4 linked regions of the Arabidopsis thaliana genome follow. The protein of the gene in region 2 interacts with the protein of the main gene of each other region in a pairwise test. Each region holds a gene or a part of one and is shown on either strand. Other genes may lie near its edges. The genes, in order: KAI2, SK4, ZTL and IBR5.

What was found.
Region 1: the proteins of SK4 (region 2) and KAI2 interact in binary tests that used the Arabidopsis thaliana proteins (3 or more experiments, as listed by UniProt).
Region 3: the proteins of SK4 (region 2) and ZTL interact in a two-hybrid assay, tested with the Arabidopsis thaliana proteins (3 studies listed by BioGRID).
Region 4: the proteins of SK4 (region 2) and IBR5 interact in binary tests that used the Arabidopsis thaliana proteins (3 or more experiments, as listed by UniProt).

What each region holds. Positions count from the first base shown.
Region 1 is NC_003075.7:17,614,218-17,622,397, forward strand, and holds KAI2 (alpha/beta-Hydrolases superfamily protein), read right to left. Parts: upstream 4,440-8,180; 5' UTR 4,147-4,439; coding exon 3,779-4,146; intron 3,273-3,778; coding exon 2,828-3,272; 3' UTR 2,442-2,827; downstream 1-2,441. Other genes in the region: SRFR1 (Tetratricopeptide repeat (TPR)-like superfamily protein), read right to left, coding at 24-706, 971-1,080, 1,190-1,317; AT4G37480 (Chaperone DnaJ-domain superfamily protein), read left to right, coding at 5,044-5,367, 5,500-6,378, 6,539-6,624, 6,905-7,045, 7,214-7,379; AT4G37483 (uncharacterized protein), read right to left, coding at 7,376-7,603; CYCB1;1 (CYCLIN B1;1), read right to left, coding at 7,912-8,077, 8,166-8,180.
Region 2 is NC_003070.9:6,982,739-6,990,274, reverse strand, and holds SK4 (SKP1-like 4), read right to left. Parts: upstream 3,964-7,536; 5' UTR 3,846-3,963; coding exon 3,528-3,845; intron 3,370-3,527; coding exon 3,196-3,369; 3' UTR 2,944-3,195; downstream 1-2,943. Other genes in the region: AT1G20150 (Subtilisin-like serine endopeptidase family protein), read left to right, coding at 1-92, 179-444, 541-658, 741-1,254, 1,324-1,424, 1,503-1,745, 1,857-1,971, 2,058-2,268 and 1 more; AT1G20135 (GDSL-like Lipase/Acylhydrolase family protein), read right to left, coding at 4,777-4,904, 4,992-5,241, 5,323-5,559, 5,648-5,778, 5,911-6,151; AT1G20132 (GDSL-like Lipase/Acylhydrolase superfamily protein), read right to left, coding at 6,780-6,973, 7,062-7,317. UniProt on the Arabidopsis thaliana protein: Involved in ubiquitination and subsequent proteasomal degradation of target proteins. Together with CUL1, RBX1 and a F-box protein, it forms a SCF E3 ubiquitin ligase complex. The functional specificity of this complex depends on the type of F-box protein.
Region 3 is NC_003076.8:23,238,043-23,247,235, reverse strand, and holds ZTL (Galactose oxidase/kelch repeat superfamily protein), read right to left. Parts: upstream 5,810-9,193; 5' UTR 5,640-5,809; coding exon 5,395-5,639; intron 4,565-5,394; coding exon 3,021-4,564; coding exon of another isoform or gene 2,980-3,020; exon of another isoform or gene 2,913-2,979; coding exon 2,821-2,912; 3' UTR 2,646-2,820; downstream 1-2,645. Other genes in the region: VIN3 (Fibronectin type III domain-containing protein), read left to right, coding at 1-698; AT5G57370 (U4/U6.U5 small nuclear ribonucleoprotein), read right to left, coding at 1,766-2,425. UniProt on the Arabidopsis thaliana protein: Component of an E3 ubiquitin ligase complex that plays a central role in blue light-dependent circadian cycles.
Region 4 is NC_003071.7:1,584,834-1,592,965, reverse strand, and holds IBR5 (indole-3-butyric acid response 5), read right to left. Parts: upstream 4,774-8,132; 5' UTR 4,429-4,773; coding exon 4,183-4,428; intron 3,923-4,182; coding exon 3,823-3,922; intron 3,751-3,822; coding exon 3,693-3,750; intron 3,576-3,692; coding exon 3,469-3,575; intron 3,391-3,468; coding exon 3,128-3,390; 3' UTR 2,800-3,127; downstream 1-2,799. Other genes in the region: LpxB (transferases, transferring glycosyl groups), read left to right, coding at 299-528, 642-741, 821-926, 1,303-1,529, 1,623-1,692, 1,802-2,040, 2,115-2,341, 2,442-2,625. UniProt on the Arabidopsis thaliana protein: Required for the transduction of auxin and abscisic acid (ABA) signaling pathways. Dephosphorylates and inactivates the MAP kinase MPK12.

The sequences.
Region 1 (8,180 bases), on a different chromosome or scaffold from region 2:
TTTTTTTCTGTGTATTGCTATACCTGTGCAATGCCTCTAGAAAGTCGAAAATCCACACTTATGGAATGGGTTCCCGATATTCTTGCTATGGTGTACTTCTTATTTTTCCTGGATTCATCACTAATTCCGCAACGTGCCTCAGCTTTATGGCTCATTTTGCTAGACTTAATACTTATCTTGTTTCCATTAATCGATAGCTCCCCGAACCGATCGGAACTTTCAGCTAAATTATCATGCAAATCAGAACCATTACAAGGTTTACATGATTCATAATAACCATTGATTTGGCTGCCACACTTTCCATTCTCTTTTTCCTTGTACACTGATCCGTTACATAAGTCGGAATTACCATCAGATTGCTTGCTAGCCTTGGATGCAACTTTTGAAAAGCTTACTATCTTTGATTGCTCGCCCAATTCGCTAGATGACTCATGTGAGTTCCCATTGCTACTTGCTCCTGATTCATGGTTGTCCAGCTTGTCACTTTTTTCATCAGACTTCTCACTATGATAGGCAGGGGTCTCTTGCGGAGACTCGGTGGCATGACTTTTTAAAATCCCATCAATTTCTCGTCTTGCATCTTTTAAGAGTTCTTCTAATTCAAGTAACTGCTTCACATCTGCTGTCTGCTGCAACGCACTTTTATACCCTTGCTCCAAAACAAGAACAGCTTCCTGTTTTCTCCCCAAAGCCAAAAGAGCGCGTCCTAGATGGAAAAGCTGATACACTTGAGTTCACATGCAGTATACCAATCAAAGTAAACCATGATCCGGTAACCATAAAAAATTCCATCCCCGATAAGATATATAACTTAACAGATATTCTTAAGCAACCATTATATCGTCATAACTAGCAGGCACTATAGCATTATCTAAACCCCTAATTCTAGTTCTGAAGCTATCCCGAGAATCAAACTCAATTCCCAGAGAAACTATGAAGCACTCAAGTCAAAGCTTGGAAGTGAACTAACCTTTGAGAATAAAAGCTTGAATGGCAAAAGGTTCAAGCAGAAGTGCCTTGTCACAGTCCTTAATCACATGCTTGTGAAGCTCCAATTGATTATAACAAAACGCTCTATTGCTGAAACCAAATTCCCAATTCAAAAAAAAATACTGAGATTAACGGGAGAAAAATCATTGATACCGATCCGGAGAAATTGAATGAGAGAACAAAGATCTCGAAACCAAACCATATATCCAAAATTGAAGACTCCTTAGCAAGGAGCGAATCGAGAACTCGGATCGCTTTAGACCAGTTCCGTGAACTGCAGTGCTTGGCTAACTCGAATCGTTCCGATGTCGCCGTCGCCGTCGCCATTTTTTGAGCGGTGGTGTCTCCGATGGAGAAATCAATCGCCTATTTAATCTTTCTCAATTTTATCCCTCTTCTTCGTGGCCGTCGTGTCACGGGAACGATGGGTTTAGGGGTAAAAAGGGAAATTAGTACAGTGGAGAAAATGGTAAAGAGAGAAGACTTTGACGGAGAACGAAACGGGGAAGAAAAAAAAGTAACGGGGAAGAGAGAGATAGTAAATAAAAAAGTAACGGAGAGATAAGAGCGAAGAGACGATGATGGTGAATGTGAATGTGATACTGGTGGTGGTGCTTGTGGTGCTGCTGCTGCTTCTCAATAAGTGGTGCTAATCAAATTTTGGGGCAAGAGTCGCACACGTATGAAGTTTCTTGTCACGTGACTTTTTGTTGTGTATATATGGGCCTAGCCCACTTATTATTTATTACCCTTTTACAATGGGCTAGCTCTGTTAATCGTCTTGCCAAAGAAATTCTAAGCAAATTGAAGTTAGGTGTGTGACTGTATTGGAGAACAAATTTGAAGTATATATATGTTCTCAATTCTTTCATGACTATGTAAACATTTAAATTGTATGACCTGCAATGAATTTTAAAAAAATGGAAGTTTAATCATAGTATTTGACTTTTTTTTTGGGTAGGCTAATCATAGTATTTGACTAGTGATGAAGAAATAATATTGTACCAAATGATATTTAAATTTCAATAATAAAATAATTTTAAGAAAATAAATAGAAGTTTTATATAAAGTGAATTATAAAATGGAAGTTTAATCATAGTATTGACTAGTAAGAAGCAATACAATATTTACCATTTTGTTTTGTATCACTAATTTTTTAAAGCTATTTACTTACCAATCTATAACTAATTTCATAAACAACAAATCGAATAAAATCTGAGCAGGCGCGTCAATAAAATTTGAAAGTTATTAGTGATAAATGATAATATAGAAAACAATATCTTTTGCACCGCATCCCTATAATAACATCAAACAAATCCATAATTTCATAAGCAAACAAACCTAACAAAATATGACTTAACTCCATCCTAATTCAAAACCCTAAATTTTCATTTTACTTTGTTTAAAACTTGGCTAATTTTTGTTCACAAACAAACAAATTTCAAAACCATCACAATATGTATGTTTTATGGTTTGGATTACCCATCCATAAATGCAAACTCAATGCTAATTCCTAGTATCACATGTTAATTACTCTTCACACAGTATAGCACAAGCACTCTTGCAAAGTTGCAATAATTCACTATGGACCATCAATTACGAACATCACTATTACATCAAGCAATAATGAGCTCTGAGCAAAGCTGTGGACAAAAGACAGAGACTTTTCGTTAAACAAGATAAGAACAACAAAGATCAAGATACTCAAGATAAACGAATCAGAACCAAACGACAACGAAATAATGTTCTCAATAGACTAGACAGACATATCACATCAGATATTTTTTTTCAACTTTTCTTACATCGTTTAATAATTAACTAATTAAATCTCTTACAATCACATAGCAATGTCATTACGAATGTGACGGAGGATGACAGGAATAACAGAATCTGGTGAGCTAAGCTGAGGAAGATGACCATCAGAAGGAATAACCTCGACGACGGATTCACAGCCAAGATTGGCGTGAAGATACTCGGAGACAACGACTGGTACAGCTAAGTCCTTAACACTTTGGAGAATGTGACACGGAACAGTGACAAAAGGTAAGATCTGTCTCATGTCACTTTGGAAAATGGTCTGGCCGACGGAGAGAGCTATGTCGGGACGCATATTGAAGAGTGTTCTGCTGAATTCTTGAACGGCGATGGAGTCCATGTCGCCACCGACGGCGAGTGGAGCGAAACCTAAGCACCACGCTTTGTAGTTGCTTCGGATGGCTTCGAATAGTTGGTTTAAGTCTTCTTGTTCGAATCCACCTTGGTAATCAACATCGTTTACGTATCTATAAACGTACCAAAACAATATAATTTGATTATATATGTTTCTTTTGTCAGAAGAAAATTAAAATATATAATATACTGTGTGAGCACCGTTTCAACAATTTTTTTTAAAAAAAGTGTAAGTAACACCTCAGTAAAACCAAATAAAAAAAAACAAATAAACAAATGGGTATTTCATGATTTTTTGTTCATAATTTACGGATTTTTATTGAAATATATAATGAAATGCTTCACTGATTTTGAGAAATAGGATAATTCAGACAAGAGGATAAACAAAGAGGCACTTTGTCGAAATTATGTCAGAATGAGAAATAAATATTTCGAAATAATAGATAATTGTGTAAATTTAAGGACTTAAGATGATTTTTTTTTATTTAAATTGTAATGTTTAATAGTTTTTATGAAATCAGACAAGAGAAGGAACAGAGAAGCCCTTTTGTCTAAACTATGTCAGGATGAGATAAAAAGCAAAACATATTTCTATGTACAACTTGTGAAAAAGTTATACCTCGGAGAAGCAGAGATCATGACGATTTTGGAGAAGAGATCAGGACGGTTAAGAGAAGCCAAGACACCAATCATGGCAGAAACAGAGTGGCCAACAAAGATACAAGACTCAATCTTGAGATCTTCCAAGATTGCAATCAAATCGAAAGAGTAGCCTTCGAGATTTGAGTAACGATCGAAGTCGAAATAGTCAGGGTTGGTCGTACCGGCTCCCATGTTGTCGTAGAGGACGACGCGGTAATCGTCGACCAGATGTGGAACCAAGTGTTTCCATACTGACTGGTCCGTGCCGAACCCGTGACCTAACACGATCGTGGCTTCTCCTGAACCAATCACCTTCACGTTGTGAGCTTCTTCTACCACACCCATCTCTCTAAAGAAGATTCTTCTCTGGTTTTCTTCTTGGTACCTCTCTTAGTCAGTTCGTGGAGAAATTATGATATTTGTGTTGTTTTAGAGTGTTACGTATTATTCTTTATAAAAAAATTCGTATCTGTGGAAGAGGAAATAAATTATTTAAAATATCGCGATTTACAGGTGGCAAAAAAAGGTGAATGGAACCATGTTTGTTGGATTGTCAAACATCGCTATTCGTGATAATTTGTTTTTTGGAATCAAGCCCAAAATATTTTGGAACATTTAATGGAGTACATGACGTGGAGTTACTGACTTCTGTTCAACAATAAAATTGTTACATTGGGTTACAAATACATGAACCAATTATTTTTAATTTTGTGCATGAATTTCAACAATGCATTAATGCGAAAGAAAATTAGTTTCAATCATTCAAAGAGTGGCAGCAAATAGTCAAAAGCTGATATAATTATTATTTTAACAACACTAGTTAAATTTCGCATGTATACAACTTGCAATGAATATAGCATCTAAAAACCTCATAATATTTGTTTTTTTCTGCTTGACTTTAACTTGTCAGTACTTTTCGATCATTTAGAAGTTAGAAGACATTAATTATTCATGGAATGCCATGGTGAGTATACGACCACGTATTCACATCCACTTCCTCATCATTTTAAGAGTCAAAAATATCTGTGAGAGGATCCTGGCCCATTAAAATTCAAGGCCCATTTAGTGTAATATGGCTTCATGTTCTCTCTTTCCTAAGACCGTTTTTACTGTTGACCAATAAAGTCTGAACTCGTGATGACGTGGCGTGAAATCGAGAGACCCACGTGTCATCGGCGTGCCGTTATCCTCTTTCCACTTCCGGTCTCCGTTCCCACCTGAGTAAACCATACTGGTCGTGAAATGACGATTCTCGCCGGGTTGATACGCCGGCGTTTTAGTAGATTAGTTCCGGTTCAACTGAATTACGGTTTCGAACCGTCGCGAATTCTCTTTAACCCGAGTCAAGGAAGAACTCGGTTGCTGAGCGGCGAGGCTGAGTCCAATCGGAACGAGTTTCCGGTGGAGAACGCTTACGATATCTTGAATGTCTCCGAAACCAGCTCAATCGCAGAGATCAAAGCATCATTTCGCAGACTCGCCAAGGAGACTCATCCTGATCTGATCGAATCCAAGAAAGATCCATCAAATTCGAGACGATTCGTTCAGATTCTCGCTGCTTATGAGGTACAATGAAGAAAGCTTCACTCTTCACTCTTATGATTAGTTTCAAAATCGAAAATTTCAAGCTTTTCAAGCTTTTGTGATAGAGTTATAGCTTTAGAAGTGTCTGATGAATGATTTGTGGTGATGATACAGATTCTATCAGATTCTGAAAAGAGAGCACACTATGATAGATATTTGCTATCTCGGAGAATGGTAATGAAGAAGCACTCGGGACAAGGTTATATGATTCACAGGTATAAAACAGGATTGACATTGAGTCAAGAGATGGAAGTAGTTGAATGGTTAAAGTGGTATAGAGAAGCAATACATGATATAGTATTGGAGAAGAGAGTAGCAAATGGTACTGGTTACTTAGATGAACTTGAAGAAGATTTTTATTCAGCTATACGAGCGGCCTACTTTGGGCCTGATGTTGAATCTGTTGAGCTTCTTCCTGATTGTTTTGAAGCTGAGGAAAGGTCTGTGTATGATACACGAGAGGTTTTGCATTTGGTATCAGGACGGGATCTTTTTGGTATGGTTTCCTTGGTTGATAACTTCCTTGAGCTTTCTTCTGCTTGCTCAAAGAAATTGGCTTTGTCGTCGTTTATGGATTCGGACCTTGGTCAAGCAGTTGAGAAAGGCAACAATGACATGATGTCTGCTGAAAGGATTGGTCTTCAGATATCTCATATACAATCTTCAAGAAGTAAAAACCATGTTTCTGATGCGTATAAAGATATTCAGCTGCATGTATCTGGAAGAGTTGTTGCTACAGCCATTAGGGTTCCCCCAAAAGGGTATCATGAAAAGAAACAAATTGAGGGTGATCACGATCTTATACACGTTTTCCTCAATTCAGATGAAGGATCTAATCATGGCACTGAATCGCCTCCGGGAAATGAAAGTGGTGCCAGACTTCTTGTTGGAACTATAAGTGGTCTTGGGACAATCCCAGATGAAGGTTCATGTTATGTCTATGATGGGAATGGTGCTAAGACTCATGTGATAATGAAACATAGGACATTTCTGGTTTGTGACTTATATGATCTAGCATTTCTTTTTATGTACCTTTCGCAAATTACAACGTGTACTTTTTCGGGGAATTGTTCTGTGATGCATATAGAGATATGATCCGCTAGTTATTTGATGGAATAGGCATGTATGAAAATTCTTCATCCACACTCTACAGGTGAGACATTTGCACTGGTACAAAATTGGGGAAAAGGTTTCCATTTGTGAATGTAGATGCAGTAGAGCGAAGTTACCACCAAGCAAGTAAGCCAAATATTATTTTTGTTTTATTTTAGTTCTGGCTCACCTTTAACTCGATAAAATAACAAGATTGGACAGCCTTTTCACTGTTTTCATCTTCGTTAGAATGCAATTCAATAAATTGATATCTGGAACACAGAATTCTGTAGTTTCCTTTGTTGAAATGCTGAAGTAGTCAGTGATCTTTGTTGGAATGCTGAACTTATGATACTGATCCCTAACGTAGCCTTCATCTTTCTTACCTCAGTGACATGAAACCATAATTGCATGGATTTGAAAACAGGTTTTGGTTGTTTGAGCCTCGTTGTGGTTTGCATGATGTCGGAGGATGGTATGTTGAAACTTATGGGAAAGATAAAAAGAGCAGGACGGTCCTGGCACAAAGATTCTGGGATGGCCTGGAAGAGGGGAGTACACTGGATGGGTAAGCTTACTATACATATGAAGAGAAAGCAGCTTAAGATATTCTACTGGCATCCTTGTATCTGCGTTGACCACATTTTTCCTCAGTCAATAAAGTCTGGTTACATCTCTGTATTAGTTGTTGTTTGTGAAGTAATCTAACTTATATATGACTTTTTGTATTCTCCAGGAGACTGCACCCAGGTATCTACTTGCTTACACTAGCATATCGTACTCTTGATCTTGAAGATGAAAAGAGAAGGAAACGGTCAATATTGGAGATCCTCGAGGCACGGTTATCTAAAACATTGGATTGGTGTAAAGAATTGGTTAGAAGAAAGGGCCTTGGAACTTAATATGGTAAACCTTCTCCCTTTCCGGATGAAGATCCAAAGATGATTGGATTTACAATTTCCGCATGGATGCTAGCACTTCCATTTAGACTTATGAGGTTGTGGCTAACAAAATGCTCACCAAAGATGGGAGTGCTTAGTTGTTTAAGGGGATCTTGCAGACCAGAAGGTGGTTTTAAAACCCAGAATGGACGGGACCAGAAGGAACACAAGAAATGGTGAAACATATACTGTGCTGGGGTGTTTGATCAAAAAAAAGAAGAGAAATTCTGTGTTGGGGAATGAATCATGTGTACTAAAGAAGTTAAACCACAGAATATTATATCTAAGGAAATTAAACTTCTCGGAAGAAACTGACTTCTTACAAGATATGCAGTGTTTGGGAATGAATCATGCTAAAGGACTAGGTTTCAAAGCGACTCATTAGACTTGTTCAAAATACCATTATCTAATGAAACTAGACTTGATTTTCAGAAGGAAAATGAAACTAGGCTTGGTTCTTCAGCTTCTTCGTCTTCTTAAAGGGTCCTAACTCCTAAGCAGATTCAGTTCCGGTCAACAAAGCTTTGGCCGGAGGGATCAAAGCCACAGCGAAGCGTTCGTCCTTGGAGTATTTCTTTCGTAAAGCTCCCTTAGTACTGCTCTCACTCCCTTCTTCTTGTTGCTTCCATTGCTGATACGCCAACAGCTTTGCACAGTCCCTTTTTCATCATTACAACAAGAATGAATATCCAACCACAAATGCAAAACGCATATGATGCAAATGAAAAAAGAAAGGAACTTTCTTACATGAGCTGAGTCTCA
Region 2 (7,536 bases):
TCTGGAGATTATATCATATACATGGGAGCAGCATCCTCTGATGGCTCAACAGACAATGACCATGTTGAACTTCTGAGCTCATTGTTACAACGGTGATATCTAACTCCAGAACTCTTTAGATTTTCTAACCATTGATTCATGTTATGAAAATATTAAGACAGTATCTTACTTGCATCAGGAGCGGCAAAACCCCCATGCACAGATACAAACATGGATTCTCTGGATTCGCAGCCCATTTATCAGAAGATGAAGCTCATCTCATAGCCAAGCAACCGGGAGTACTATCTGTCTTCCCTGACCAGATGTTACAGCTCCACACCACACGTTCATGGGATTTCTTGGTGCAAGAAAGTTATCAAAGAGATACTTACTTCACCGAAATGAACTATGAACAAGAATCCGAAATGCATGAAGGAGACACCATTATCGGCTTCCTTGATTCAGGTGAGCAGTATGAAGTGATGAAATATTTATATGCGCTTTTTATCTACTTCCAGTAAAACAAATACTCAATGCAGCATATCCTGATGGAGAAAACAGGAATATGGCCCGAGGCGCAGAGCTTTAACGACAGGCACATGGGTCCAGTCCCAGAGAAATGGAAGGGCACTTGCATGAGAGGGAAGAAGACACAACCTGATTCTTTCCGTTGCAATAGGTAAGCTGAGACTGAGGAAAGTAGAACACATGTAGAGATCCGATATATGTTTGAATTTACCACCTCAAACTTGGATAAACAGGAAACTGATAGGAGCAAGGTATTACAATTCGTCATTCTTCTTAGACCCCGATTATGAGACACCACGAGACTTTTTGGGGCACGGGACACATGTGGCATCAATAGCAGCAGGGCAAATAATAGCAAATGCGTCCTACTATGGCCTGGCAAGTGGAATCATGAGAGGAGGTTCACCAAGTTCAAGAATAGCTATGTACAGAGCGTGCTCACTCCTGGGATGTCGTGGCTCGAGCATACTAGCTGCATTTGATGATGCAATCGCAGATGGGGTTGATGTTATATCCATATCAATGGGCTTATGGCCAGACAATTTACTTGAAGATCCGCTTTCCATCGGGTCATTTCATGCCGTGGAAAGAGGGATCACTGTTGTTTGCTCTGTAGGAAATTCTGGCCCATCGAGTCAAAGTGTGTTTAATGCTGCTCCATGGATGATCACTGTTGCTGCCAGCACTATTGACCGTGGCTTTGAGTCCAACATTCTTCTGGGAGGAGATGAAAACAGATTAATCGAGGTAAGAAGGAAAAGCCAATCAACGGACAAATCTCCATTCACATAACATCTTAAAGAATTTCTTTTGCAGGGTTTTGGAATAAATATTGCCAATATCGATAAAACACAGGCTTACCCACTTATACACGCACGATCAGCCAAGAAGATTGATGCTAATGAGGAAGCTGCTAGGTAATAGTTGCCTCGTAAAATTATAGAGTAACTTTGCTATACCTATACTAACAAGACAACACAACTGCAAACCTTCAGGAACTGCGCACCTGATACACTAGACCAAACCATTGTTAAGGGAAAGATTGTTGTGTGTGACAGTGATCTTGATAACCAGGTGATCCAGTGGAAAAGCGACGAGGTTAAGAGACTTGGAGGTATCGGTATGGTACTTGTTGATGACGAGTCAATGGATCTGTCTTTTATTGATCCCTCCTTTCTAGTGACAATAATAAAACCAGAGGACGGCATACAAATCATGTCCTACATAAATTCAACAAGGTTTAAGATGTCTCATTTCACAAGACATTGCTTTCAAACAGAACTAATAATAATATTTTTACCCAAAAAAAAAAAAAAAACAGAACTAATATATCATAATCCATATTGTAGAGAACCAATTGCAACAATCATGCCTACAAGATCACGAACAGGACACATGTTAGCTCCATCCATACCATCCTTCTCATCAAGAGGTCCTTACTTGCTTACCAGAAGCATCCTCAAGGTATAAGCCCTAATATTCATCATAAACATGATCTCAACAGTATTCACAGAAACTTCAAAAACAAAATATTGATAAACCTGTTACAGCCTGATATTGCAGCACCAGGGGTCAACATACTAGCATCGTGGTTAGTCGGTGACAGAAATGCAGCACCAGAAGGCAAGCCACCGCCACTCTTCAACATTGAATCAGGGACTTCAATGTCATGTCCCCATGTCTCCGGGATTGCTGCTCGTCTCAAATCCAGATACCCTTCATGGAGTCCTGCAGCAATCAGATCTGCCATCATGACAACAGGTGAGAAATCAAAATCAAGTAGATACCAGTTACGGATGATTGATCAGCTAGAGTTAACCCAAGTCAACTGTATCTGCAGCCGTGCAAATGACCAACACAGGTTCCCATATAACTACAGAAACAGGAGAAAAGGCCACACCTTATGACTTTGGTGCTGGGCAGGTTACTATATTTGGACCTTCATCACCAGGACTGATTTATGAAACCAATCACATGGACTACCTAAACTTCCTCGGCTACTATGGATTTACATCTGATCAGATCAAAAAGATATCAAACCGCATACCACAAGGTTTTGCTTGTCCTGAACAAAGCAACAGGGGAGACATATCTAACATCAACTACCCATCAATCTCGATTTCTAACTTCAATGGAAAAGAAAGCAGAAGGGTAAGCAGAACAGTGACAAATGTAGCATCACGCCTCATTGGAGATGAAGATACAGTCTACACTGTGAGTATCGATGCACCAGAAGGATTACTAGTCAGAGTTATACCAAGAAGGCTACACTTCAGGAAGATAGGAGATAAACTCAGCTACCAAGTGATCTTTTCATCTACTACAACAATACTCAAGGACGATGCGTTTGGATCTATAACATGGTCTAACGGAATGTACAATGTGAGAAGTCCATTCGTTGTAACCAGCAAAGACGACAACGATAGCGAACGTTAACGATAATCTAAAGAGAACACATTCATGTATAAAGAGCAAAAAGATTAAGCAAGACCAACACTTTCTCTCAAATATTTCTCATAAAAACCAATAGATGTTGTTAGTAGAACAAAGCATTAGGTTTTCATCGACAAGGACAACTCCAATCGAAGAGAAAAAGAAAGAAAAAAAAAACAATCCGAAATCTTGAAAGCTAAACACATCTAAATAGAAAGACTAGAGATTCCTAAACACCCTTCAGATCCGATCCAATCACTCGAACGCCCACTTGTTCTCATTGCGAACCTCCGCCTCTTCCTCAGGTGTGTAATCGTTCTTGATGTTGAAGTGTGCACGCATCTGCTCTGGAGTTTTGCCTCTCATCTGATCAGCCACGGCCTTGCACGTAAGGTCAAGAAGTCCACCGATGTTCAAATAGTTCGCAGCCTGTACAAACCAAAGAACCAAAACGATTAGTCAAATCAAAACGACATTCAACACACTAAAACCCTAACAGAATCCTGCAAAATCAAACCTAAATCCCCAAATTAAAAACCCTAATTCTAACAACATCAAACCTAAACAATGAAAGCGACTTTACTAACCAAGATGAGATCGAAGAGAGTAGGCTGATCGACTTTGACGAATTCGCTGTCCCAATTCTTAAGCTCGTCGTTCTCAGCGGAACCATAGAAATCCTTGTCTCCACCAGCTTCAGCAGCGGCTTCAACGTGCTTCTTGCAATACTCAATAACCTTGGCGAGGATGGCTCCGGTGACATTGGGAAGTGGAATTCCGTTATCGGCACAGTCGTCCTCAATCATGTGCTTAATCGTCTGGGACTTAACAGCGACGGCTTCCTCGATCTCGAAGGATTCACCGTCGGAGCTCTTAAGGATGATCATCTTCTTCGTTTCTGCCATCGTAAAAAGTGACGACTTAGGAAAAGTTTTTGAAGGAGAATCGGCGCTGCGATTGATTGTTGTGATGGTGTCAAGGTTTGGGAAGTTGGAGCCTTATTTATAGCCAATTTCTTAATTGGTATTCAAGTCGGTTTATTGCTTTTAAGTTTTTTTTTTTTTGCCGGCTTATTGCTTTTAAGTTAATCTACTCCTTTTACTAATAGGAGAACAGTAAAAAGTAAAACAAATATTGGAAATTTAAGTTTTTAAAAAATGGAAAATTTATGTTGTTTTAAATAAAGTAAATATTTTTACTTTTCCACAAACTTCACCTTAGCTGTATTCCGTTAATAATATTTACTTTTTCAGATTTACATCTGATTTCAGAAAATACAGTTTATCTACGTGTGCAAAAATCATTGACTAGGGTTTTTATGTTTTAATCAAAGAAAACCTCCACGTTTGTATGTAAAAATCTATGTGAAATTATGAATTATTATTTGGGTATTTTGTAGTGAATATCAAGGAAAATGTAAAAAGTAGGTAACAAACACCACAATTTTTGGGAAAAATATTGCGTTACACTAAACAAACCAAAATTAATAACATATTTATTTGTGTTGTATTTCTCTCATTTGTTGATCTTTGTATTTGTGTTGGATGGAAATCTTTTATCTTCTTCTAGTATTTTTTTCTTCTTTTCCAAACACATAACTTTTCTGGTTTGGTAAACTAAGAAGCACCAAAATTATTGCAAATGAAATTATCACTGATTCTGATTAATTGATGAGAACACATAAATCAAGCTTAACAATAGAGACCTACAAGCGGCTCATCGTCGATCGAGGAACTAATCATATTCAAACCAAGGTTCATGGTTCTCATGTCTAAATATAAAAAAGAAAGAGAAAATTAGTGACTAGGCGAGGTTGCTTTGGATGGTACTGAGGATCTAAGGTAGAACAGTTTTATAGGCTTTTTCAGAAGGATGGGCAAAGTCCCAGAACACGTGACTACCAGATCTTAAACACGGAATCGGAGTCATCACCGAGCAACAACATGGTTTTGCCGTCGTAAACCCTGAAATGTATTACAATGTAGAAATTAGCACCCTTGTTTTTTCTACCATATATATTCAAAATTTGCGTGTGTTACTCAATGTTTTACCGTATTGGCTAGGATTATTGATGACCTCAAGAAGTGAGTTATACATATCGATGTAGACGAATTTGCCATTGGGAAGCCTTTGGTTGTACTGATTGACCAAGTTAGCTACTTTGTCATTATAAACTCTAGCACCATAGTTTACATTCGGAAGACATATCAAATTTCCGGTAATTTGTCTCGCCCCTGGCAAACACCCTAACGGTAACGTTCCAAGAATTGCAAATTTTCTAGCTCCTAGATCATATAGACTCTGTTATTCATACAAAATAATCATTATAGGTAGAACAATATTATGAAGAAAAAAAGTTATAAATAAATGTGTGTTGTATACATTTATGAAGGTAGTTTTCCAACCGATGAGCATATCAGTGTATGCTTGGACAGTGTATCTCGTTTGTCTCTTCGGAGTTGAAAAATATGTGATGGCAAGATCGTTATTACCAGCAGACACTAGAATCACAGCATTGGCTATAATCTCTTTGACTTTAGCTGCATCTCCAACTTGTTGGTTTAACTTTTCTAAGTATCTTTGAAAGTCACTCACCTGATCTTGTACCCATATAACCCCCTATATAGTTTGCACATATAGTAAATGAGTAAGAACATATATTACTTTATCTTATTGAAAGTAAGAAGTACATAACAAGTAGATTTACCTGTATAGATGCAGTGAATTTGTCTAACCCTGAACCACCGGATGCAAAACAAACGCCGGTAGCGAGTTCACTATTTTTAAGAAATGGGCTCCGGAAAGCAGGTAAAAGATCTTTTACCCCTAAACCGCTGGCTACATACATATATACCATGTACATTTTCATTATAGAATGATTCTCGAACTATTTGATTACTCATTAGGTTAAAGAATGTGAAAGAGAAAATTGGTCTTATATATATATGTTGTATAGAGAACAATTAGTACCAACTAAATCTGATAGAACTCTTCCATTCCCGAATCTTCCTGTAGGAATACGATGAGGAAAATCGCGTCCATATGGCAAAAAATTGCCTCTTGATACTGTCATGAGCAAATTGTTGTTACCAGTATCGAGAATCGAATCTCCAAATGCAAGAACTGCTGAAAATGTTCCAGTTTGAGCTTGAACACATGAAATCCATATAGACAATAATACTACTAGAACTTTGATGTTTGCATTTTCCATCTCAAATAAATTTTAGGTTTTATTTTGTTAGTATTTTTTTTTGTTTCGAATTTTAGTTTCAATTTAGTTTTTCTTTTTTTTTAAAGAATTTGTTTACTTTATCGTCATACTTTATACAAAGGTGAAGAAGGGTTGAGAGAGTTCATCGAGTCCCTTGAATAATGGTATGAAACTTGTTTGTTTTTGTGGTTAAAGAACAACACTCTTCCCTGTATCACTGGACTGATAATATATATTTAGCCAATCCAGCAAATCAAGTCTTACCACTCAGTCTTATTCAATTATTTGACTGATTTACCCCCACAACAATGTGCAGATTAAATCATATAATTTGGTTATATTTCATGTTATCTAGTTGATTACTTTACTTCAGAGAGCTATAATATTATTACATCATCATGACCTAAAAAGAAAAAGATAATCATTACATAAACAGAATAGCTGTCGATCAAATGAACTGATTGATATGGATTTGATCTTTGAAAGCATGTGAAGAGTGATAAAAGTTTCTCTTAAAATCAATTGGTAATCAATATAGTGACTTACAATAATTTTGTACAATTTATAACAACTGCACAAGCTTTAAGAAAAATAAAAGCATACAATGTGAGTCATTTGATCACACTACTCAATTTAAATTGTGGATGTATTTCTCAAAAAGTATTTTGGTTAAGATTTTATAGAATCTTTGGGTAGGATGGAGACTATCCCAAAACATGTAAGCAGATACATTGGAGCACACAAATGTTGTGAATCGATTGCAAAGTGGACCAGCTTCCACAAATCCAGTTCCACAACAACCTCTCTTTATTTCTTCAAACCCTGCATTAATTCTCAACTCAAGTTATATATACATGAGCTTGTATAGTTTAGTACTTATAAGAATTAAATATTCACGTTCTAATATTACCATAATCTGCTGAATTTTCTAAGATGTGACTGAAAGCAGAGTATATGTCAATGTAAATGAGATTGGAATTTGGTAGGTTTTTTGCCAATTGGTCCAAAATGTTGGAGAGTTTGACGTTGAAAAGCTGAGAAGCATAGTTTATATCTTGAGCACACTCTCTACGAAGACCTCCTTTTAGAGTTCTTAGTATTGGTACGCAGCCAAGTGGTGGTGTTCCTAGAACTGCTATTTGTCTTGCTCCATATTCGTATAATTGCTGTTCAAGTGTATCCATATAGATAGGTTATTGTTATTAATTTATTTACGTTAGTCCAGTAAAGAAAATCTTTGTAAGGAAATTGTAATTTATGTATGTATGGATACCATATATTAAACATAATCATGAACAAATTTAGTTTAGTTTAAAACCTTTGTAAAACAATAATTCCTTTTGGTAGTAATTTCACATTTTATCCCAAAAAGAAAAAAACATTAA
Region 3 (9,193 bases), on a different chromosome or scaffold from region 2:
GAGTGGTTTCCTTTAACGAGGAAGGTGACTTAGATGAGTCTGAGCTTCGGTTCACAACGTTGAAGGATGATGGAGATGAAGCTGGGGACCAGCAAAGCCCTTTGACAAACTCAAGCAGTGGTCTTTGTAGTAATCCATCTTTACCAGAAGATGAATCTAATAATGTCAATAAAAGCTGCAGCAAAGGAAATGGTGACAAGGACAACACTGAACACTGTAGTGCAGGAGAAGTAGAATCTGAGCTTGAAGAAGAGAGGCTTGTAAAGAGGAAAGCAAACAAGATAGATGGAAGAGACTTGCTTGTAACACCCTGCAAGAGAGATATTTATAAAGGAAAGCAAGGAGGGAATAAAAGATTCAAATCAAGAACAGTATCCTTGAACGAGAAACCTGAGATCAATAATGCCGCAAATGGAGTAGGAGATAAAGACTTGGGTCATATTGTTAAGACGATTAGATGTTTAGAGGAAGAAGGACATATAGACAAGAGTTTTAGGGAAAGGTTCTTGACATGGTATAGCTTAAGAGCTACTCACCGAGAAGTAAGAGTTGTGAAGATCTTTGTTGAGACGTTTATGGAGGATCTGTCTTCTTTGGGACAACAGCTTGTGGATACATTCTCAGAAAGTATACTGAGTAAGAGATCATCGACAAATGGTGTAGTACCTGCTGGGATCTGCCTCAAGCTTTGGCATTAAAAGCTTTTGAAATCGGTCTATTTATTAACTCGCTTGATATTGTAAACCATAACGATAATTTTGGAATGAAATTATGTAAGTACGCATTTCCAATTTCTTTCTGATGCTTAGTGAAAAACTCAAAAATGAATAAGCCTGATTTCAAATGAACCATAGTCTGACAGTTAGAGCCGGGAGATTACACACAAACATTAACATTTTTAAATCTCGAAAAAGAAATAACTCACGAGTTGTTTCCAACCAAATTCAGAGAGTACAAGTTTGTTCTCTATAAGACATCAGAACAGAGTCTGGGGAAGAATTGGAGTAACTAGTAACTACTATCTGGGAAATGCAGCTCTAGCCCTCATCTTTTTGACTAGTGTTCAAGACAGCGTTAGAGGGACCTGCAAGATATATTCAAAGGTTGGTGAGCAGAAATCGATCAATGCGAAAACAAAAACTGGATGCAGAGACACGAAAGATTCTAGTTAATAATCAGAAAAACCGAAACTGCTTAATCTCATCAGAGTAAATGATCCAAGGGCAAGTAAATTCTAAATTCAGCTGTTGAGAGTTGAGACCTATTGGTAAATACCAGCACATAGGTGGAATGATCGGTTTTACGCAGTAACTCGCACAACTTGATCTTGTAAGATGCAGATTCAAATGTGCCAAGGCAAGAAAACTAAAAAACACAAGACTGGTTCCATTTCCTCTGGATTAACTAAAATAGTTCTTCATGCAGATAACAAAACTAACCGAGTGAACTATCTGTATATAGAGCTTGTGAGGATATCACCTGAAACAAAGATCTCTGGTATAGATCTAACTAAACAACCACCAGTGAACTAGATTGAGAAGCAAAACAAGTGAGTAATATAGAGAAAGCAAAATGCTGAACCTGATGAGTACTTAGAATCCATTATCTGAAAAGATGCTGATGAGTTCATTTTCTAATGCAGCCAACAAGTCTAAGAACTAAGTCCTATCTAATTTAATCATACTACACATAGGAGCTAAACCTATCTTCCAATTGATAGAACAAAAACTTGGGAAGCTTAGTGGAAAGCCTAACCTTGAGAAGACTAGCGATTACGCTCGGCCGGTAGAGGACGGTTAAATCCACCGCGACGGTTCATGTACTGTCTTGGCTGACGCTTAGTTACAGCTCTAATACCACTAACATCAGCACCAGCAACTGGTTTGCCTTTTGTGGAATCAAATCCAGTAGGAATCCCTAACATCTTCATCATCTCAATCTCATTCACATCCATTCCTTCTTCATCTTCGCCTCCGCCATTATCAGCAGCATCACTTGGTTGTTTATCCTTCTTCTTAGTAATAGTAGACGCATTCTCGTCAACGGAATCAGTCACTACTCTTTTGCGATTCCTTTCTTTCTCATCGTCTACTGAACCCTGGCGAGGCCGTTTTCGCGACGGAGCATCTGGAGAAGGAGACCTGCGCCTGTGGTGTCGTTGACGGTCCCGGTCCCGGTCACGGTCAATCGAGCGGGAACGAGAGCGATACCTCTCCGGAGAGCGCACGTGGCGAGCACGAGCGTGGTGGTCTGGAGTACGAGATCGGGATTTTTTGTTTCTAAGCCCTCGGTCACGGTCGCGCTCTCTATCTCTTTCCCGGTCTCGATCACGGTCACGGTCACGGTCGTCTCTACCTCGGCGTCTATCACGGTCTGGTTCACGGTCCTTATCCCTCTCTCGTTCGCGGCGGTCGCGCTCTGACATGGTGGTGATGCGACTGAGGAAGGTGCTAGTGTCAGGGTTTAACCAATTTCAACACTGTAAATTTTCTTCCCCAATTTTTTCTATTAAAATGAAAATTTGGGGTTTTATCCTCTATTTTTCCAATTTTCTTATATTCATCATACTCAATGGAAAAATAATAATAATCTCATTTTGTCTCCGAACTAAAAGTATGAAATTGGAAATGAAAATAGTGGTCCAATAGCATAAGAAGAGAAAGGATCTTATTAAAGTTTGTAATCATAAATAAAATTTACAGAATATGAACACAAATGCACTTCTCAAACTTCAAAGAGAACAACAGAAACAAGCACTACAGAGAGAAAGAGAGAGATGACATTTTCACTATATATATTATATAAGCACTAAAAGTCCTCCTAATGAGGAAGAAAGAAGAAGAAGGACTTAAAAAATATGAGCAGTACCAAAGTCCCACCACTGAGTCGCTCTCCCCTAAAGCTCCAGTATCCTAACCGAGAACCCTTTTTCATCTTCTTCTATGGCTGGGTTCTCTTTCATACATAGGCTCTCTTTGGTTACGTGAGATAGCTCGCTAGTGATAATTCGTGTAGCTCACTTAGCATCCATTCTTCTCCGGTCTGACCACCTAGCACTATCGCTCGTGTTCCTCCCACAACACAAGTGCCATGTCCCCAAGCAAACCGAGGCGGTCTTCCTGGAATGTTTAGTATTCTCCAAGTCGGTTTGTCCTCCGTTGGGTCAAGTAGATAAAGCTGAGACGCTGAGTGAAGCCCTGCCACTGAGCCGCCAAATATCAAGATTCTGCCTCCAGGGAGGTTAACTGCAACGTGATCTAGCCTTGGTGGTGGTGCTACTCCTCCTGGGTTTCCTGCTCCAGGCATTCCGCTACCGGTCACACACCTCCAACAAGGCTCCTCTTCGCTTAGATCCATTGTGAAGACATCACTCGAACGGAATTTCAAAGGCCCGCTCTTAGCAAGACCACCAAACATCAAGATCTTTCTTCCTCCATAAACCGATAGTGTGTGGCCTAACCGGGAAGGCGGAGTCCAGGCAGCTGGAATCTCTCTCCACACTGGTTTCTCTATTGAAAGGTCGAGGAGGAACGTGTCACTTAGAAGAACGCCGGAATCTGCACAGCCTCCAGAGACTATCAGTTTGGTTCCGTCAAGGGTGCATGAGCTGTGCCATGATCTTGGTAGAGGCGGAGCCAAACCCGAAATTTCCCTCCAAGTAGGCGGCTTAGCATCGAGATTCAAGACAAACACATCGTTCAGCAAACCTTGCTGACCACAGCCACCAAATACAACCAGATTGGAGCCATTTACACAAGTGAGCGTGTGGCCCCAGCGTCCTGGAGGAGGGGAGCTCACTTTGACATGTTGCCATTCAGGGTAATCAGAATTCAGATCTAAAACAAAGGTATCATTCATAGGCTGCATATTCACACCTTCTCCTCCAAACAGAACAACTCTGTTCCCGACAGCACAAGCACTAAAATTACAGCGAGAAGGCTCAACAGAACCTCCAACCGAAAGTTTTCTCCAAGCTGCAGCTTCAAGGGTGGTCAGTTCTCTAGCCAAGCGGCCCCAACCGAGTCTTTTAGCACCAGGAACAGTCTCTAATACCCGTGTTGTTTCACTTCCCCATGCATTCTGACAAACCCTTCGCCAAAGATCCTCATTCTTTGTCAGCACATATAGCCTGCGGCACACAGAGCTAACAGATGCAACGTCTCTTGGTGTCAGGCGTGACAATATCTTCATAGACACAACCTCGTCACTCAGCTGGAATAACCCACACATTCCTCGGGAAACATTCCGCTCCCCAGCAGCTAAAGCTGAGTATATCCCATCAATTGACTTTTCTTTTGTTGAAGATCCAAGAACAGGTCCAAGGTCAATGTCTGTCTCGATAAAGAACTGGATTCCAATTATATGGGTAATAGTATCATCGTCTCCATAAATAGGAGTCAACCGCAATCTATTCATCAACGGAGATCCATCTTTCCTAAAGTTCAACAACTCGCCTTGAAATTCAATGCCCTCATCAATACATTTTCTTATCTCGGAAACAACCATAGAGTCAACTAATGGATGCCTTCTTTTAGCAAACGGTCCTCTACATTGCAAGAAGCGGCTGCAGAATCCGAGAAATTAATTAAGAAACAATATAAGACCAAAAACAAAATTTATCTCCAACTTACTGATGCGGAAAAGCAATAGACAAAATATTTGGCCGTGCATGTAGAGACTGAAAAAAAAAACAAATACACCAAACAAGCATAATTATAACCTAACCAGATTTTCATTCTGTTCAAGAATAACAACTATTTGAACTGATCAGCTCCTCCTGTAAGATCAAAGCTTATTAATAAAGGAAGCTACTAGCACTTCTCTCATGGAAAACTAACACACAACTAAACGCATTGGACTTAGCCTTTTCACTGGTTCACTGCACATCAACATTGTAAAGAATTTATTGTGTTCGCTACGACCCCGAGAAACTACACAGGGATAGCTCGCTTTATCTCGGCATCTATATACACTTTCAAGTTTCCTTAACATGCGGAGCAGCTGAAACAGCTCAAAAACAGCCATGAGAGCTCGATTAATATGAAAACTACAATCACTGAATAAACATCTGAAGGCAGAGAATACTTAGGCACACACAGAGACTCCACTGAGTCTTCTCTGCCATTTGGCAGAGACTCTAATGATTATCTAACAATAGACATATCTTTGTTTTCTCTCCACCAAAGTATCCATCCATACTAAATCTAGTGATCAATAGAGTGTCCTTCAGATTACCATCATCACAAACATTCCTCACCTATCCTCAAACTAAACGGACCTTAATCAAACTCCACCAAGTAGCCAAAATTTGGTAAAGTGAGCCAATAACCAAAAATAGAAATTCCTCGCATCAATTAGAACACTAATCACAAAGATAACAAAAAAACAACTAACCAATTTCCTCCGAGAACTTCCTCAGCACGATACCCTGTAACCATTTCGAAGACGGTGTTGACATATATAATAGGTTGGTCCGGCTCAACGGCATCAGTAACAACGAATCCACAAGGCGCCGTGTGAAGCAAATTCCCAACGGGATATGGAATTGGTCCACCTCCGGGAAAAAGACCTCCCTCTTCATCATCCGCCAGTGACGAAGCATCATCGGCGCTTAGATCGGAACCACTGTCCCACTCCATGAAAATTCAAATAGTTACCAGACTGATTTCAGTCGCCGGAGATTATGAAGACGGCGATTGAAAAACAATCCGGCGTGAGATAATCGGAAAATTTTGGGAAAAGGAGATTTTCGGGGGTTGAGAGAGAGAGAGAGAGAAGATGGTGGACAAAGAAACGAGTGGTAACCGTCGAGTTTGGTGGAAAAATCTCGGCCGTATGAGTTCATTCGAACGGGTCGGATTTTATCCGGGTCCGGATTTCTCTGTCGGGTCAAGTAGATAAAACCATAAAACTCCCCTTGATTTTTGGGAAAAATGTCATTAAAATCTCCAACTTATTGAAAAAGTTGATTTAAATTATCAACTTCCAACTAAACGAAATAAATATCAAATTTTTGTTGACTTTCCAAATAAATACCAAACTTTCGTATATATGGTCATATTAGGTATAATATTAAGTAGATTAACATATTGCGTTCACGGAGTTAATTTTCTGTTAACAGATCCGTTAATTTAAAACGTTATTGTTTCCTATAACAAGAAAGCGACCTCGTTTTATTATAACGACCGAATTAAATTCCCAAATCCAATCTTAAATCTCCAAATCAAGCAAAATTCTAACCCTAAATCTTCATATGATTTGAAATTGGGATTTAATTGAGCATTTATGACATAACGACGTTGTTTTATTGTTATAGGGAATATTGTCGTTTTCAATTAACGAGTCTGTTAACAAAAAATGGACTCTAATAACAGGGTCTGTTAATGTCATACTTAATATGGCTACTCGAACAAAAGTTTGATATTTATTTGGAAAGTCAACCAAAATTTGGTATTTATTTGGAAAATCAACAAAAGTTTGATATTTATTTCGTTTCGTTGGAAGTTGAGGATTTAAATCAACTTTTTCAATAAGTTGGGGATTTTAATGACATTTTTCCCTTTGGTTTTTAGACTCTCTTTAGCTGAGCTGAAGCTTATTACTTTCCAAATTTGTGGGCTCATGTCTTACAATAAAGCCCATTACAATAAAGCCCATTATAGTCCAGTAAATGAGATTATGTGACTGAATAGTATGAGTTTCGTAATAAGAAGACGCCATAAAATGGAAAAATAGCAAGATCTATAATTATAGTTACGTAAATGAAAATTTGTTAAGGTTGTTGGTTGCTAAATCTTTTCTTGAACCGTCTCAATTATCAATTGCCTATCATTTAATCTCTTCTGTAATGTTCCTTTTATACGCAGAGGACCAAACTAGTTACATCAAATCAATAGATAGTTAGTTGAAACAAATAACTTCTCGTAACTACTGGTTAATCGAATCGGTTCGGTATATCATAGAATCATAGGTGCAAACAGACTTTTAAACCAACATCAAACAGCTGAATTGGAATTAAGATTTAACCCAACTTTAGTGTTTTATATCAACAATAATAAGAATAAGTTGTAAGTACTTATATATAAGTAGTTAAGTACTGTTTTATATCACCAATAATAAGACTGTTTTATAAGCCTAAGTTACCGATATGGGGCAACTATCTTATGAACTTTATTTGAAGGTTATTATCTCATGAAATGAATTGACATACTCAATTTAACAAAACAGGCTTACCTCGTGTTATTAATTATAAGTTTCGTATAAAAATAATAAAATTGATAGTAAAAGTTAAAACAAAATGGAGAAATTGTTTGTAATGATGCTAAATACAATTTTTTTGTATTATATTTCCCTTACAAAGTAGCAAATTGGTCAAAATTCTTCGTCACCTCTTTCTTTTTTCCGACATTCTTCACCTCGTTCTGTAAAACTACTAAGTAAGTAACTAATACAATGCCATACGACTAAACAATATCTTCGCAAATAAAAAGAAAAAGAAAATATTTCTTTTAAATTATGGTATTTAGTTTTTAACAAAAATATAAAATATAGCGATTTACATTTGTATTACTGATATAAATAGATCATATAATTTTGACATTAAAGACTTTAGAAAAATTATAATTGTAAATATTTTTTTTGTGTATGACAATTTAACACATAAAAAGGACGTGAGAGAACAAGTGGGTTTGGTCGGTTGTTTTCTTTACACTTTGCAAAATTCTCTATTCATTCATATCTTCGACGAGATGCTAAAATGCCCCCACTATAAAATTCCTTTTTCTTTATACAAATTTTGAAAGAAAAAAAATTCCATAATATCATGATTAATTGTTTCAGATATTCAATGTATAGTAATTTTCTAAGAAACTTAAATAACTACGTATATGCTGGGAAGATATAAAGAAAAACCTACATAGAGAATACGAACATGAATATCACAATAAGCGTTGGTCCAACGACCTTCCAACAAGCACCTCTTGTATGATTCGACTTCTACATTTATTCATCACCTCTCTTTTTTCTCTTGTTTATTAGATTCTTATTATCATGTGTTTTGTTTCCCCCTTTATTATTATTATCTCTTAGAACCTTGTTCGTTCATGAAAATCTATTATCAACAAAACTGAATTGAAAATAAAAAGAATGATTCAAGATGAAAGTAAATTCACTAAAAGAAATTTACCAAAAAAAAAAAGTATACTTGTTAAAAAAAGAGATTGAAAAAGACATCTTCACTATATATGTTGGGTTCGAATAAATTCGCTGGCCTTTTCTCTTAAGCCACATGGTATGAGAATTGTTTTGTAAAATTTGTTGTCATCTTGTTATTGCCAATGCATCATGATCGTAGAGATGTAGGCTAAAGAAACTTTTTTAAAGTGTGATTTTACACAGCAGCTGGTGGTTACTGCTTAGCCATAAAATTATGTGTTGATATTGACATAAGTGGAATGTCGAAAACATGTTTATTCATACACGTATATTGTTGAAAGAAGTGTTAAACACATCATACGTTTAAAGTAGACAAATCTAGAAATATATAACAAAAGAGAATTTGTTTGTACATTTAAAAAGCCTTAGCTCTTTTTGAGCAAAATATGTAATATTATAATTTCAACACTTTTGAGTGTGTTTACTAAAACTAACAACCTTTATGAAGCAATTGGGATGGGTTTGTGTGATCTAAAATTGAGGTAGGATCGTGGGACCAGGAGAACATGAGATGCATCGAAGGCAAAGTCCAAAGACACTACGTCACTTTGAGTGGATTGTGTACGTGAGGTTGTACGAACCATCATTTCACGTTACATATGTTGCAACGCTGCGTAATCTGTCCCCACCATCCAACTTATTTCTAATTCTTTTTCATAATTATATTTGTATCTAAACTAAGTAGAATACCTACATATTGAAAAGAAATATTACTTGCTAGGGCCTAGGGATAAACGTTAAAGAGAAATATTACTATAGAGAAAAACCCTTTAGTTTTGAACACAATTTCTATGTGTAAACATGCGTGATTGTTATGTAGGCAGATGTGCACTAAGCACTTAAACAGAAAAAGAGACAAGTTTTGAACATGAGTTATGAGTAAAACATATAATTATAAAGTTTTGAACATGAGTTATGAGTAAAAACATATCATTATAAAGTTTTGAGAGCATCTATGAGTAAAAACAGACTAAATTAA
Region 4 (8,132 bases), on a different chromosome or scaffold from region 2:
AGAACAGATGGAGTACTAATTTAACAGAAGAAAAAAACTCTTACTTGATAAGTTTTAGATCCAAAAACAATAAACATAGGCCATTCAACATCTACAATCACTCACTGTAAGTCTATAACTATCACTGTCTCCTAAACAAGTATCACTATGACTGATGGGCCTCAATAACATGCTGATAAGAAGTGGGCTTAAGAGGCCCATTAAAGTCCCCATGAGAAATCTTGCTTTCATCGCAGTTCATTGTTTAACAACGTCACTTTCACTCTTTCAGAGTTTTTGATTCTCTCTCTTCTCCGAAATGATGTTTCAGATTACAAAGAGCAAACTTCGTTTCCCTCTCTCAACATTCACTAAGAGATACTCATCATTTCAAGCTGCTAAATCGGTGATTGACAAGGCTGCAATCGATGGGGAGCTCAGAGTTTTCATCGTCTCCGGCGAAGTTTCCGGCGATAACATCGGTTCTCGTCTTATGTCCTCGCTTAAAAAGCTCTCTCCTTTACCCATCCGTTTCAATGGAGTTGGAGGGTAAGCACTTGGGTTTCCCCCAATTTAGAAGTTTCTTATGAAAAGTTTTGATTCTCAATTGAAAATTTCATAAAGTTGGAACATTTGTATCTTTGCTTCTTACAAATTGATAGATCCTTGATGTGCAAGAAAGGATTGAATTCGTTGTTTCCAATGGAGGATTTGGCTGTAATGGGTGTATGGGAGCTTTTGCCACATTTGTATAAATTCCGTGTGAGTAACCTTTTGAATGGTTTGATATAAAGCTACTCTAGATTCTTTTGATTGACTAGTCTAGTTTTTGAGATACTAGGTGAAGTTGAAGGAGACTATTGATGCTGCGGTTAAGTTTAAGCCACATGTTGTTGTGACTGTTGATTCAAAGGGCTTCTCTTTCCGTTTACTTAAGGAGTTACGAGGTAAACAACACAAAACTTGTTTCATCAAACTTGTACGAGAGAATCATTGAGCTTTAGTGAATAGAATGCTTGCTAAACAGTGTCGCTTAACGACTAAGACATACTAAATTCAAAGCTTCATTGTGGTTTTCGAAAAGCACAGTTTTCTTGAATAGTACCAAGATTTATGTATGGAAGCTTCTTCTCCAGTAGGAACATGTTTTTGCGTAATTTGACACTAATCTCTAGGATGATGTCCTTGATTTTGTTTTCTGTAGTAGAAGTTGAAAAAGTAGAGAAATAGGAACCTTAGAAATGGCTTTTTGAAGCCAAACATTCCTGAATGAAGTCATATATATCATGTAGGACAATGGAGGAATGCTTTTTGGCTTTGCAGCTAGATACAAGCAGCAGCGGTTGGAAAATTGTTCTGTGCATTTTCACTATGTCGCACCGTCGTTCTGGGCTTGGAAAGGAGGAGAGTCAAGACTTGGAGGTCTGTCTGAATTCGTTGATCATCTTTTCTGCATTCTTCCGAACGAGGAAAGGGTTTGTAGGGAGCATGGGGTTGAAGCAACGTTTGTTGGACATCCTGTTCTTGAGGATGCTTCTGAGTTCGACCTTGTATGCGTTTTCTTCTTCTTCTTCTTGAATTACCTCAGTTTCTATGACACTCTGTCAGAATTCTAAGTGAAATGGTGCTCTTTTCTGCCACAGGTGAGAAGGTGCAAGCCTCAGGAACTGAAACTTGAAGGCTTGAGTTTTAGCGAACACTCAATACCTTCTGGTAATGTGAAGTTTATCAAAATGATTTAACTTTTCTACAGATTGGATATCTACTTTTATTGATATCTCATTGTTCTTCTGCTGCATTGCATAACTTTTCATGAAACAAGACTCCACTGTCATTTCGGTTCTACCGGGGAGCAGATTACAAGAAGTTGAAAGAATGCTACCCATATTTTCCAAAGCAATGAAGCTACTCAAAGATCCGTTTCCAAAACTAGTAACGCTTATCCACGTCGCATCCAATAATCAAGTTGATCATTACATTGGAGAATCCTTCAGTGAGTGGCCAGTTCCAGCAATACTAGTCCCTAGTGGATCCACTCAGCTTAAATATGATGCCTTTGGCGTAAGTCTTTGAAACCTCGTTCTAAGTGTCTCATCTGTTTACTCCTCTCATTTTGCGGTGTTCCATAATAACAGGCGAGTCAGGCTGCATTATGCACTTCAGGAACAGTTGCTGTTGAGTTGCAGCTTGCTCATCTACCTTCCCTTGTTGCTTACCGAGCACATTTTCTAACAGAGCTATTAATCCGTTACAAAGCCAAGATACCTTATATTTCTCTCCCAAACATTCTCCTAGACTCCCCAATCATTCCTGAAGCTTTGTTTCAAGCTTGTAACCCTTCAAATCTCGCATCGATACTAGAGTATATCTTTTTCTTTTCACCCACTTTTACTTTATATTTTGTTATCTGGCAATTGAGAAATGGGCATGATGATGACGTGAGATGTTGTTTGAAACTGTAGGAGACTACTCTTGGATGAAAAGATGAGAGAAAGACAAGTTGTTGGTGCTGAGAAGTTGATACAGCTCTTGCATCCGTCAGAAAGCAGAATGGGCAACTCAATTCATTGCACTGGTTTGGAATCTCATCGATATACGCCAAGCATTTTAGCAGCTTCGACTATTCTTAGTTATGCCAGGCGTTAAAAACTATCGTGAGTCACATGCCTTTGTTTGATACTAGAGTACGCTGAGATACTTGCTATAATCTAAGGTTGAATTTTTTTCATAAGAGTTCTAACATATGGTAAATTACAGTTAAAGGCGAAATGATCCATGTAGATTAGAATGTCTCAGCTTATTTGGTTTGCAGTCTAAGACAAACAGTCAAAAAGGGCTTTCGAAAGCATAAAAGGATAAAGTGAAAGTATTGAATGTCTAAGCTTATCTGCTTTGCAGAAACAGATAAGATCCTACTAGTGTGGCTTGTCATAACTGGTTTAATAGTATATTTCGCTGTAAAGATCGATACAGAATTGTGGGAGAGTGAGGAATAAACCAGACAAAGATGCTTCCAATCTCATGTTCTCAAACCCCAAACTCTCTCAAGCAATGCACCAATCTCCATGTACAAAAAAGAAAAAGAAACATTCTCACAACAGTATATTTGTTGATGAAAATTCTTGCAAGAGTATATGATTATCTGGTTCTAAGAGCCATCCATTGCAATATCACCACCAGTTGTTGGCTTTGGTGGAGTTGCTCCAAAAGTGAACTCCTGAGGAGGGATACTTGAAGCAGGAGATGAAAATATAGAAGAAGTAGGAGCATTGTTGAACACAGGAGCTTGTGCTTGATTATCAATCTTAGGGAAACCAAACCCAAACGTTGGAGCATCATTAATATTCATCGCCGACATCATCTCAGATCCGAATATCCCCTGCTCAAACTCCTGCAGTTGTTGGTAAAACTCTGTGTACAAAGAAAAAGCAATGAGTAACAGTTTCAAGAACAATAAGTAAGTTTCTAATCCAAAGTCTAAGTACTTGCCTGGACTTATGTCAGTGCTTGGTCTCCGTTGTTTAACCCACTGATGACTCTCAGCGAGTCTCCACCCTTTTCGTTTCATCAAGTACGCTACAACAACCGCTGGTGATCTGTCATGTAATCGAAACACAAAACATATCACTCTATTAGTCTAAATAATTAATGGTAATCATAAGAAAGCAGCCGCAAGTTTAGGATGAGAGTAAGAGAATGATAAATGTACTCACCTACTTTTCCCAGACATGCAATGCACAAGAACACGTGCCTTGTCCTTCTCACATTGGTCTACACAAAGCAAGACCGTCAAGAAAAAATCATAAAGATGAAATCTAGAAACTTGAGATAGAATCAACATACCTAAGAACTTAATAGCATCATCAAACTGTAAAACTTTTTCATTATCAAGACCATGATAAGTGAATGAATTCCTGTAGAGATTCTGGCACATAGGAACCGTCTGAAACAGAGTAACAAAAACAGAGTCAATACCAACAAATAGTAAACAACACATTCCTCTCTATTACCATAACAGGAACTTTAACAGAAACCATAAGTCAACAAAACGTATAAGTATAAGAAAGATTCATCTACAAGGCAAAACCCTAACTAAACAAACCGATTCAAAGATTCAAAGATCTTATCTTTTTCTTAAGGGTCATCATCAATGTTTAAAACAAAAGCAATTCATGAATTCAAAATCAAAGCAAAGAAACTCACATTAAGAACACGAGAGATTCCTTGAGTCTTAAGAAGCTCAGAGCGAGAAGCGTTGTCGTAACTACCGAGGTAAAGAAACTCAGGGAGAATCTCCGACGGAAAAGCACTGACGTGGACTTGTTGCGGCGCCACCGTATCGGAAGAAACAGGCATACAGTGACCACAGACTCCACATACTTCTCCTTCCTCGTACTTATGGTAATGCCCACAAATCGAACAAGGGTTCTCTCTTTCTCTCTTCCTCATAATTTGATTTCGAAAATTAAACCTAGATCTGATTTCTGATCAAAACCCAGATCAGAGAAAACCCTTGATTTCACAGACGGAGGAAATTAGGGTTTGGGTTTGGAGAAATTTGTTTGAACGGAAGAATTGGGAAGGACGGAGAAGAAGGAGAGACTTGAGAAGAGAGTTTTTTTTGTATGAAGAATTGTTTTCTTCTTCGATGGGATTAATACTGATTCGGATAGATACGTGCCACGTGGAGTTTAGATTTATGTAAATCTTCTTTAAACAGTCTCTCAGTTTAACAGGTTCTGTAATAGATACGGGAGAGAGAGGATCTCTAACTGAGTCAAAATTGTTAACTGAGCCATTTATTGCAGATTTACTTTTCTTTTTTTTTGTTCAGGATTTACAGTAAAAATAAAAAAGAATTTTTTTTTTTTATTTAAGTATATAGTCCATTTTTTTATTTAATTTTAAATTTCCAATAATATTAAATCAATATACATGACAAAACGTTTAAATAAAGTTACAGGCCCAAATACACAATAAAAACCGAAATTAGGCCGCATGTCCAAATAGATGGCAAAATGCCAAAAACCGAAACAAGGCTCCAGGTCCAGAAGAGAAACCAACTGAATCTTCTACTGAAAAACGCCAAACCAAGTGACAAGGAGAGATGGACATGGGCGGATGATCTGTTGAGCTCTTGATAAGAGATCGAGGTGACAACAGAGGATGTTTTTGATCTCAAGAACAACTGTAGAGGCAGGTTTCCATATATAGTCCATTTAATGATTGGATTTTGCTAATTCTGTTAGGGATATTGTTTTATGCTAATTTCATACTTATTATTATGTTAACTTGGTTTTAAAGGGTAAAGTAAAAGTTTAAATAATAAAGTTATTTAAATTTCTTTTATTTTTGTTGTCGACCGCTAATAATTTAGCTTAAAAGAGTCATTCCTAAGAAATGTTGTTTACATAGGTAATATGATGCGGTTCGATACGGATTTTTCTTGTCAAAGAATCCGCTATAATATTTACACTACCAAAAATTAAAGATGAAGAAAAACTTGTGAATTCTTTCTTATTGTTCCGTAATTCCTCCAAATACTCTGAGAAAGTCGTCCATTCGGTTGGAGAAGACACTATATTCACCAGGTCTGAACAGTTTGTAAAAAGTTATTTAAACTTTATTAAATACGAGAACAGTATTTGATAAGGGAAACTGAAATTAAATTATTTATTTTACAAAATTTAATAAATGTGACTTCTCGCAACGTCAAAAATATATGTACATATATATATATAATAAATGTTACGCAAATTATGTAGAATTCATTGTCATTATGTATGCATAGTAATTAACTTTTTTACGTCTACATAAACGATTTCGATCGTTGTAAATGACATTCATTATTTCAATTACAAGAGAAGTAATAAAACATTTTTCTCCTCTTTTGTCTCTTTACTATTTAGTATTTTGATCACTTTACAAGTTTAAAAATAATCTACTATTTATATTTATATCCACCATAAAAATAATTCACTTATTTGTAACAATTTGTAAATTTATAATTCGCTATAAGTGTTAAAATATAGGAGATTGACATAAATGACACTAAAAAGGTTTATTATTGCAAAAATGACACATTCTTTTAAAACTTGTACAAATAGCACACAAAAATTTTAATCCTCTAAAAATTAATTAAAATAAAATATAGAAAATACACAATATCTAATCTCATTTCTTCCAAATCCAACAGCTTTGCCTTCGAAAAACCCGACGACTTCGTCGCTCACCGGATCAAATCTGAAATCTTCAATGACACTCTCAACTAAGCCCTTGAATGAGATATTCTCATCTACCTCACAAAGGGATCCACCTTTGTTTGTGTCTACAAGAAAACCCACTAAAACTTATCATTTTGTTCACACTCTCCACAAACAGAGTATATCTCTACCATTTATATACCAACCCTAAAGAAAGCAACAACTAATACAATAAACAAACTAGAAGATCTATAGTATAAAAACACCAAAAATCTACAAAACTTTCAAATACTTGGACATGACTTACAATTATTTCAGAGATTCGCTTGTTTTTTAATGTTTGTGGATGATATATTCCTGAGACAACAAGACTAGCTGCACAAAGAGGCAAATATGTCATGTTAGGTGTTCAAAATCGATTGATTTTGATGCTTATTTGCAGTGAATCAATTCACGAATCAACAAATTCGCCTAATTCCACATTGAACGCCCATTATACCAATATTAATCGTCTAATTTCGTTTCCGAAACGTTTCGAAAACGAGAAACGCACTACGGGAAGAGTTCCCATGCAACATAGATTATTATTAATAGAGCCAAAAAAACCGGACACTAGTAAACCAAAACAAACATGGGCCATTATTTATAACAAGGCCTAAAAATGAAAACCAAGCCCAACAAGAAAACTCTTAGGCAAAGCAACACACTCTGTCATCTCTAAACGTGGTGCCGTACAAATGAATTTCATTGACTTGTTTACACGCGTCCAACTCGTCATCTCTGTTTTGTCTATCGCCGGATTGGAATATTCGCCGGCAAAGAGAGAACAGTCGAATGATTCTTTCTTGACCTGGTAATCATGTGGAAAAATTAACGATTCTCAAATAAGCAACCAAATCTCTTTTGATTTCTACTGAGAATAAATGATTCAGTTCTTTTTGTTATAATCTTTTCCACAATACCATGCTTTAATAGATCTTCATGCGCTTTCTTAAACTTCCATATCTCTATTGAATTTTTAGATCTTGAGATCTAATCCGATTAGAAGGTTAATTTTTTGAAGCTCCATACTCTTCCGTCAAAGCACAAACCTTAGAGACTTTCTTCTTCAAAATTGAATGTCACATATATCAGAACCATTAATGTCACATATATCAGAACTATTAGAGATTTACCTTGAAGTCCAATGTTTTTAAACCCGACCCGGACAATGAACCGGACTACCTTCTTGGTTACTGGGTCATTGGGTCAACCAGGTTGAACCACGAATCAATTTTTTTTTTTTTTTTTTAATAGAGATTTTAGAGTTTTAGAATTTTTATAAATTTAAAAACAAAAATAATCATATCATGTTTATAAAATATAAAATCAGATTATGTTTAATAAAAAGTAAAATCATTTACACCAAAAAAAATAATATATATATATATATAATATATAATATCAAACAATAATAATGTGATTAAACTTTTTAAATCCAACTAAATGTTTAATACTGTAACAAATATAGTAGGAGATTACCAATGCCGAAAATAAACTAATAAAATATTGTGAATTCACACAATTAATACCGGGTGTCTCACTCACCATTCGATTTATTTTTTAAGACGGCACTGTGAAGTCTTCGTCGAAATTTAAAATATCAAATGAGTTTAACAACTGAAATTTTTTTTAAAAATGATTAAATAAAGTATAAAATCCTATATTTTATTTCAAAATGAAGAGAGTTTTTTAAAACCGACACCCGACTGGTTCAACCGGTTCACCAGGTCATGGGTTAATGGTGAGTTTTTGTGGGGTTTTTTCGTTTTTGAACTTGTCGGGTTTTAGCACTTTATCCAAACCGGAAAAATGTTCGGATCACGATCAACCAGTCGGACCGGACGGTCCGAGTCGGGCATGAAAACATTGTAAATAACCATTCCATTGTTGTCGCGTTTGACTCGAAAA